Macaca mulatta: one gene and its partner. Each later gene encodes a partner of the first gene's protein in a complex. Links are inferred from orthologs where the notes say so. Each region holds a gene or a part of one and is shown in the gene's direction. Other genes may lie near its edges.

What was found. The genes of interacting proteins can lie anywhere in the genome.
Region 2: the proteins of RPTOR (region 1) and EIF4EBP1 are in contact, whole or in part, in a cryo-EM structure (PDB 6BCX), measured with the Homo sapiens proteins. The link is inferred for Macaca mulatta from reciprocal best matches to the Homo sapiens genes RPTOR and EIF4EBP1. Residues at the interface, in NP_065812.1 of Homo sapiens: Arg54, Arg305, Thr317, Asp321, Phe337, Arg338, Leu341, Ala344, Arg348, Leu437, Gln438, Leu440, Leu441, Ser442, Gln443, Arg446, Tyr475, Lys478, Leu479, Gln481; in NP_004086.1 of Homo sapiens: Glu111, Ser112, Gln113, Phe114, Glu115, Met116, Asp117, Ile118.

What each region holds. Positions count from the first base shown.
Region 1 is NC_133421.1:90,243,452-90,247,589, forward strand, and holds the start of RPTOR (regulatory-associated protein of mTOR), read left to right. Parts: upstream 1-1,328; 5' UTR 1,329-2,106; coding exon 2,107-2,268; intron 2,269-4,138. UniProt on the Homo sapiens protein: Component of the mechanistic target of rapamycin complex 1 (mTORC1), an evolutionarily conserved central nutrient sensor that stimulates anabolic reactions and macromolecule biosynthesis to promote cellular biomass generation and growth.
Region 2 is NC_133413.1:39,997,183-40,000,831, forward strand, and holds part of EIF4EBP1 (eukaryotic translation initiation factor 4E-binding protein 1), read left to right. Parts: intron 1-3,384; coding exon 3,385-3,564; intron 3,565-3,649. UniProt on the Homo sapiens protein: Repressor of translation initiation that regulates EIF4E activity by preventing its assembly into the eIF4F complex: hypophosphorylated form competes with EIF4G1/EIF4G3 and strongly binds to EIF4E, leading to repress translation.

The sequences.
Region 1 (4,138 bases):
AAAAAAAAAAAAGTGCAGATTCTGAATCCCAGTCTCCCTGCTCCCCGATCTGGGGGTCTGGGGCGGAAGCTGGGCATCCTGATTTTTAGTTTCCTGGGCGATTCTGACCACCTGGTGGGTTTGGACTTCAACGTGCTCACTTAGAATTTCTTTCTTTTCTTTCTTTCTTTTTTGAGACGGAATCTCACACTGTCGCCCAGGCTGGAGTGCAGTGGCGCAATCTCGGCTCACTGCAAGCTCTGCCTTCCGGGTGCCCGCCACCACGTCCGGCTAATTTTTTGTATTCTTTAGTAGAGACGGGGTTTCACCGTGTCAGCCAGGATGGTCTCGATCTCCTGACCTCGTGATCCGCCCGTAATCCCAGCACTTTGGGAGGCTGAGGCGGGCGGATCACGAGGTCAGGAGATCGAGACCATCCTGGCTGACACGGTGAAACCCCGTCTCTACTAAAAACACAAAAAATTAGCCGGGCGTGGTGGTGCGCGAGGCTGAGACAGGAGAAAAGAAATTTACAAAGGATAAACTGCTCAGCAAATGAAACAGATTAAACAAAGAATTGTATTCGATGAATTTTTTTTTTTCATCGAATCTTGCTTCGGACCCTTCTTCATCTGAAGAGTCTTGCTCAGTCTCCCAGGCTGGAGTGCAGTGGCCTGATCTTAGCTCACTGCAACCTCTGCCTCCCCGGTTCAAGCGATTCTCCTACCTCAGCCTTCCGAGTAGGTGGGACTACAGGTGTGCGCCACCATGCACAGATAATTTTTGTATTTTTAGTAGAGACGGAGGTTTCACCATGTTGGCCAGGCTGGTCTCGATCTCTTGACCTTGTGATCTGCTTGCCTCAGCCTCCCAAAGTGTTGGGATTACAGGCGTGAGCCACTGCGCCCAGCCTTTCACTTGGTTTTCTACGAAAAAGAGAAAATCTGATTGACACTGTGGAAGATACTACATTAAAAAAAAAAAAAAAAAGTACTATATTTTCTAATATTATCAGTGTTTTTTCCTGAAGCTTTTGCCGCTTTTTCAAAATCTGGAAGAAACAAGGCGGTTGATTCCTCTAATTTCAGGAGCATGTAGCTTCATTTATAATAACAATGTTTTTGAAAAAATAAATTAAACCGACAGTTTCATTTGTAGGACTGACTTTAATAACACGCCTCTACTGAACAAATGGCGATTAACTGGGGAAAACGGAATTACGGTAACCGAGGTAATGGGGTCAGGGACTCCCTTTCCTTCACTGCTTGTTGGGTGGCGCGGCGAGAACGCTCTGAGGAGGTTTGGTCTGTCGGCCACGCCGTAGGCCGCGGTGCATTCTGGGTCCTGGCAATATGGCGTCCTCCTTGATGTGCTGATGAGATGAGTTTCCCTGTAGCTCCAAACCAGAGGGCAAAGCTCCCCTGACCCAGTAAGCCCTCATTGTCCGTTTTCTCCGTGGTTCCGTGTCGCCTGTTTCTCAGGACTCGTTCTCAGGCAGGAGAGAGCCTCGGGGCTGAAGGCCAGGACCAGCCAGGCCGCGCGGACCTGAGGTTGAGGAACCGGGTGCGGGCGAGCACGATGGGCCGGTCCTGGCTCTGGTTGCGGCAGCTCAGACGAGTGCGGGACCCGCAGGGCTGAGAGTGGCTGGAGGAGACCCAGGGCCCTTTGAACCCGATCCCTTGGCCGGAGACCTCGGCCCAGTGGGCGAACCGGCACCAAGAGCGGCCTGCCTGTCCTCGGAACTGCTGAGGCGTTGGAGGCCGAGAGCAGGGTCATCGTGAGGCCTGAAGTCTCTTACGCTTTTGACAGCTCCGCTCGCAGCCCCTCTGGAAACGTGCAGCCCCAGGAGCAGCCAGTGGCTTGGGACTTGGGCTGGTGTGTGTCTGCGGAGCTTCTTGGGCTGCCCCATTTCCTAGCGGCCCCCACCTCCCCACTTCCCGCCCAGAGTTAGAGATAAGGATCTCAGACTTTTTGCCTGAGTAAGGGTCTCCGCACTCTCCATCCATTTGTTTTTCGATTCCCCGTTTTTCTGTTTCTTATTTCACCAATTCTGGTACACGCTAGTTTTTAAGGCTGGAGGTTCTTGAGCGCTTGCTGCCAAGGACTCCCCCACCCCCTCCCCCACTGATGGAGTCCGAAATGCTGCAGTCGCCTCTTCTGGGCCTGGGGGAGGAAGATGAGGCTGATCTTACAGACTGGAACCTACCTTTGGCTTTTATGAAAAAGAGGCACTGTGAGAAAATTGAAGGCTCCAAATCCTTAGCTCAAAGCTGGAGGATGAAGGATCGGGTAAGTGGATTCTGAAGGCACCCCTTGAACTTGGTAGTTTCTCCAACAAAGAAAGTTTACAGCCTGAAAAGTGTCCTTGGGAAAGCGCTGACATTTCCCCCCAGCCACACGTTGTAAGTCAATTAGAAAGCAAAAGCCATTTCAGACTGCAGTTTTTGGCTGAAAATGGGAAAGGCTGTTTTAATTAGTCGTTATTCACTGGGTAGTGTTAATTCAATTCCAACTAAGTTCTGATTCAGATAATAAAAGTTAAGCAAATTTGAAATACAGCATTGCGAGTATTTACATGCTCTTCGGCATACTACTTTGTTCTGTTAACACTTAGAGGAAGGGCAACGTGCGATATAATGCTTATACCCACATAATTAGTCTACTTTGTAAAATTTCCAAGCTGGGTGAAGTGCAGAAGTCTGATATACTATGCTAGGAAACGAGATTACTGGAAAATGTTCAACTAGTAACAAATTAGTGCAAAGTTATTTTAAAGTTACAGTGAACTTCATTCTAGTCTTCTCAACAATTTGTCTTGAAGCTAGACTTTCCTCCTTTTATGTAGGGTCCTGTTGCTGTAACTTGGAGACAGGATTTCTTTAATTGTGAGTTAGGGTATGAGGCATTGACTGCAGGTTTCAGGTTGTCCTCATGGTGTTGGAGTGTGGAGAGTGATTCACAAGCAGCTGGTAGGAAAGAAAACAGCTGAATTTTGTTGAATTTATCCTTCATAAGATACCATCTATTTCCTGGTCTCAAAAGCAAAAGGGTGGTACTGCTTCTCATGTATGCACACTTATAATTTGTCTTTTGGTAAGTTATGTTCTCCCTCCAGGCTGCTTTTATTTATTTGCACGTTTCAGTGGTATAAAAGAGGAAGTTGGTGTTACAAGGTTTGATTTCCTTTAGGCTTATGTATATGTTTATGGAATATTATTGTTTTTTCATATATGATGATGAACATATATAAGATTACACTTCTGGGCTGGGCGCGGTGGCTCACACCTGTAATCCCAGCACTTTGGGAGGCCAAGGCGGGTGGATCACCTGAGGTCAGGAGTTTGAGACTAGCCTGGCCAACATGGTGAAACCCTGTCTCTACTAAAAATACCAATATTAGCCGGGCTTGATGGCAGCTGCCTGTAATCCCAGCTACTCGAGAAGCTGAGGCTGGAGAATCGCTTAAACCTGGGAGGCAGGGGTTGCAGTGACCTGAGATCGTACCATTACACTCTAGCCTAGGAGACAGAATGAGACTCTGTCTCAAAAATAAATAAATAAATAAATAAAGATTACACTTCTGGTAACTCTAGTCTGTCAGTAGTAAGCAGTACTTTAGTTACTGATTTGGCTTACTTCTAAAAGATTAGAAAAATTTGTTTCATCGAAAAGCAGTTTAAGGAGTTAAATAAGTTAGACATTGGGGGAGGTTGTATATTCTATCTTATGGACATCTTTAGTAGTAATTATATAGTTAAAAGCTTTTGTGGTTGCTATACATATGTGAAAATACTTTTTTTAAAAAAAATTCTGTGTAGAGGGCAGTTTTTTTTTTTCTTTTGAAATGTGGTTCCCTCTGCTGTCCTAAACCTATGTTCCAACTGTTCGAAACTGATTAATGGGTATATATTTGATCTTTTAATTAAAACATTAATTTGTGAATGATCAACATTCCATAATAAGCTTTTCACAGATTGTTAAGAGAAACAAGTTCTGTGACTCTTAGTAACTACTGAGATTGTTGCTTAGAAAGCAGCTGGGGAGAAAGTTTGCTGTATCTGTTTTTCAGTGGAGAAAATCAGCAGCTAACATCTTCAGTTGAGTTTGTGGGAGTTTGGAATCTTGTCATCTCTTCCCTCAGGTCAGACCTTGATGGACC
Region 2 (3,649 bases), on another chromosome or scaffold:
AAATCACCAGGGGCTGATGCCCTTTAAAAAGGCTCTCCAGATGGTTGCTGGCCCCTGGGCTCTTCTTTGAGAGTATTGAATCTTAACTCTTGGGTTTCACTCTATGGTAAACAAACCAACAAGAACAAAAAAAGTGTGGCTCATGCCTGAAACCCCAGCACTTCGGGAGGCTGAGGCCGGTGGATCACTTGAGGTCAGGAGTTCAAGACCAGCTTGGCCAACATGGTGAAACCCCATCTCTACCAAAAAATACAAAAATTAGCCGGGCGTGATAGCACATGCCTGTTGTCCCAGCCACCGGGGAGACTGAGGCGGGAGGATTGCTAGAACCCAGGAGGCTGAGATTGCAGTAAGCCAAGATCATGCCACTGCATTCCAGCCTGGGTGACAGAGCAAGACTCCATCTCAAAACAAACAAAACAAAAAGCAAAGTTGGGGAGAAACAAAAAGGGGGGGACTCTTGCCGAGTCTCAAAGATTAAGAAACAACAGAAAAAAAGTGGTCCCATCTGGAGCCAGGATGTCCAGCCATGTGTCCACTGAGTCCCCACCCCGCTGCCTGGACCCTGTGGTCTCTGGGCTTCCCTCCCCTCTGGGGAGGGGAGATTGTACAACCTCAAGCCTTGCAGAGTGGAGCAATGCCACATCTGGCTTCTAGAACCAAAACAAATCTGGGTCACTTTTAAAAAAAGAGAGTTAGAAATTGGTCTTCCCAGGCCGGGCGCGGTGGCTCAAGCCTGTAATCCCAGCACTTTGGGAGGCCGAGACGGGCGGATCACGAGGTCAGGATATCGAGACCATCCTGGCTAACACAGTGAAACACCGTCTCTACTAAAAATACAAAAACTTAGCCGGGCGAGGTGGCAGGCGCCTGTAGTCCCAGCTACTCGGGAGGCTGAGGCAGGAGAATGGCATAAACCCGGGAGGCGGAGCTTGCAGTGAGCTGAGATCCGGCCACTGCACTCCAGCCTGGGTGACAGAGCGAGACTCCGTCTCAAAAAAAAAAAAAAAAAAAAAAAAAAGAAATTGGTCTTCCCTTACCTCCCCTCACTGTTGCCCTGGCCCTGCAAAAAGAGGGCACCACCGCCCTCCATTTGTAATCTATTGGGCTCATAGCCACTCAGACCTAGAAGGTGTATGGGTCTTTATTTTACAGATGAGGAGACGGAGGCCCAAAGCAGGGAGTGCAAGGAGCAGCGCGCATAGGGTCACACAGCTGACTGGGAATGGAGCCCAAATGCACCCTGGTTCTTTCCTTTACACCCCTCCTCCTAAGAAACAGCTCTGTGCTGGAGTCCCACAGGCAATGAGCAGGGCTGTCAGCTTCAGCATCGCTGCCTCTCCTGCAAGGGGACAGGAGAGTAAGACAAGTGACTGCCTGGAGGGGCTGCAGCCAGACTAGAGGAACACGGCCAGCAGGTGAAGTTTCTCTTTAGGTATCTCTCTACATTCCTCTGCCCTTCAGCATCTCAGGTCCGCCTCAGCACAGAGCCCCGTTTCGTGAACTCGCACTTAGTCTCCAAGATGGAAATTCGTGCCTTTCAGGAGTTTACAGAGAGTCCAGTGCTGAGGATCAAGAAATGAATTTCAATATGTACAACTATTATGGATCCATAAAAATTAAAAATGAAAAAAGTAAAATAAAGCGTAAGAAATGAATCTCAGCTGTTGGAATGCCACTCATCATAGCCCCTAAGTGAGGGAGAGATTTCAAGGTTATTGCTAAGGAAGGGCATTCCTGAAGTCCTTAAATCATGATTCCCAAACTTGGGTTATTCATATTTTATCTGCACAATTATTACTATACCTTGCATTCCACTTGTACAGATGTTTAACATTTCTTTATATCACCTTAGCTTTTGAATTTAGCTTACATTATTTTATTATAGAATCTACAATATAGTATTATATTATTTGTACATTAAAAGGAATTGCTATCACTACTATATGTGGAACACCAGATTCACTTGCCATAAATAGAAGGTAGCTATAAAAAGATACAAAGGGGCTGGGCACGGTGGCTCACGCCTGTAATCCTAGCACTTTGGGAGGCCAAGGTGGGCAGATCATGAGGTCAAGAATTTGAGACCAACCTGGCCAACATGGTGAAACCCCGTCTCTACTAAAGATACAAAAAATTAGCTGGGCGTGGTGGCACACGCCTATAATCCCAGCTACTTGGGCGGGTGGGGTAGGAGAATTCCAAAGTCAGTGACACACTGGCAGGACACACTGGGGACCTCACAAAGGAGAGAGGCTCAGCAAGAGAGCCTTTGGGGGCAAGGAGAGCCCACCCTTCACTCCTGCCTCTGGCTCTTCTCTGCAAAGCCCAGGCATTTCTCTTTTTTTTTTTTTTTTTTGACATAGGGTCTCACTGCAGCCTGGACCTCCTGGGCTCAAGCAATCCTCCCGCCTCAGCTTCCCGAGTAGCTGGGACTACAGGCACGTACCATCATGCCCAGCTCATTTTAACTTTTTTGTAGAGATGAGGTCTGTCTAAGTTGTCCAGGCTGGTCTCAAGCTCCTGGGCTCAAGCGGTCCTCCCACCTTGGCCTCCCAAAGTGCTGGGATTACAGATATGAGCTACCACACCCGGCAAAAGTTACTATTTTTACTACTCTGGTTGAATCACTTAATTTTCTGTTTGGTCATTTGTAAAATGCGGCTATTCTGGTTATCCCACAGGAGTGCTGTAAGGACAGGACTGAATAATGAATAGAAATGCATTTTTTCCACCATGGTATGTGATTGTCATGGGTAGTTAACACTGAGCCCTGGTAGGTGAGTGAGCTGAGGGGCTTTAGGGACAGAGCACAGTGTGCACAGAGCCCTGGGAAGACACAGGTGCAGTCGGTGGCCTGCAGACCCCTTCCATTAGATCATTCCATGTGAAGGGGAGTCAGGGCCATTTGGAGGTAACGGAGTTCTGAGTGGCAGCCAGACCCCCAAATAAGCCTCATTGATCTGGCTTTTTTTTTTTTTTTTTATGAAAAGGAGTCTCGTTCTGTTACCCAGGCTGCTGTACAGTGGTGCAATCAGCTCACTGCAACCTCTGCCTCCCAGGTTCAAGTGATTCTCCTGCCCCAGCCTCCTGAGTAGCTGGCGTTACAGGCTTCCGCCACCACGTTGGCCAATTTTTGTATTTTTAGTAGAGACGGGGTTTCACCATGTAGACCAGGCTGTTCTCAAACTCCTGACCTCAGGTGATCCGCCCACGTTGGTCTCCCAAAGTGCCGGGATTACAGGCATGAGCCACCGCACCCGGCCTCCTCTGGGTTTTTCAGGAGAATCTGCTGCCTCTACTGCAGCCACACCTTTAAAAATTGGAAAAACCAGCAGGCAAGAGGTTGCAGGTGGCTTGACCAACCTCCCTGTGCCCTTCTAGGTACCAGGATCATTTATGACCGGAAATTCCTGATGGAGTGTCGGAACTCACCTGTGACCAAAACACCCCCGAAGGATCTGCCTGCCATTCCCGGGGTCACCAGCCCTTCCAGTGATGAGCCCCCCACGGAAGCCAGCCAGAGCCACCTGCGTAATAGCCCAGAAGATAAGCGGGCAGGCGGTGAGTGTTGGGGCTTGGCCAGGCTCTACCTTGGGAAAGGGAATGTATTAGCAATACCCTGGAGTCCATCCACTGGGGTGAATTC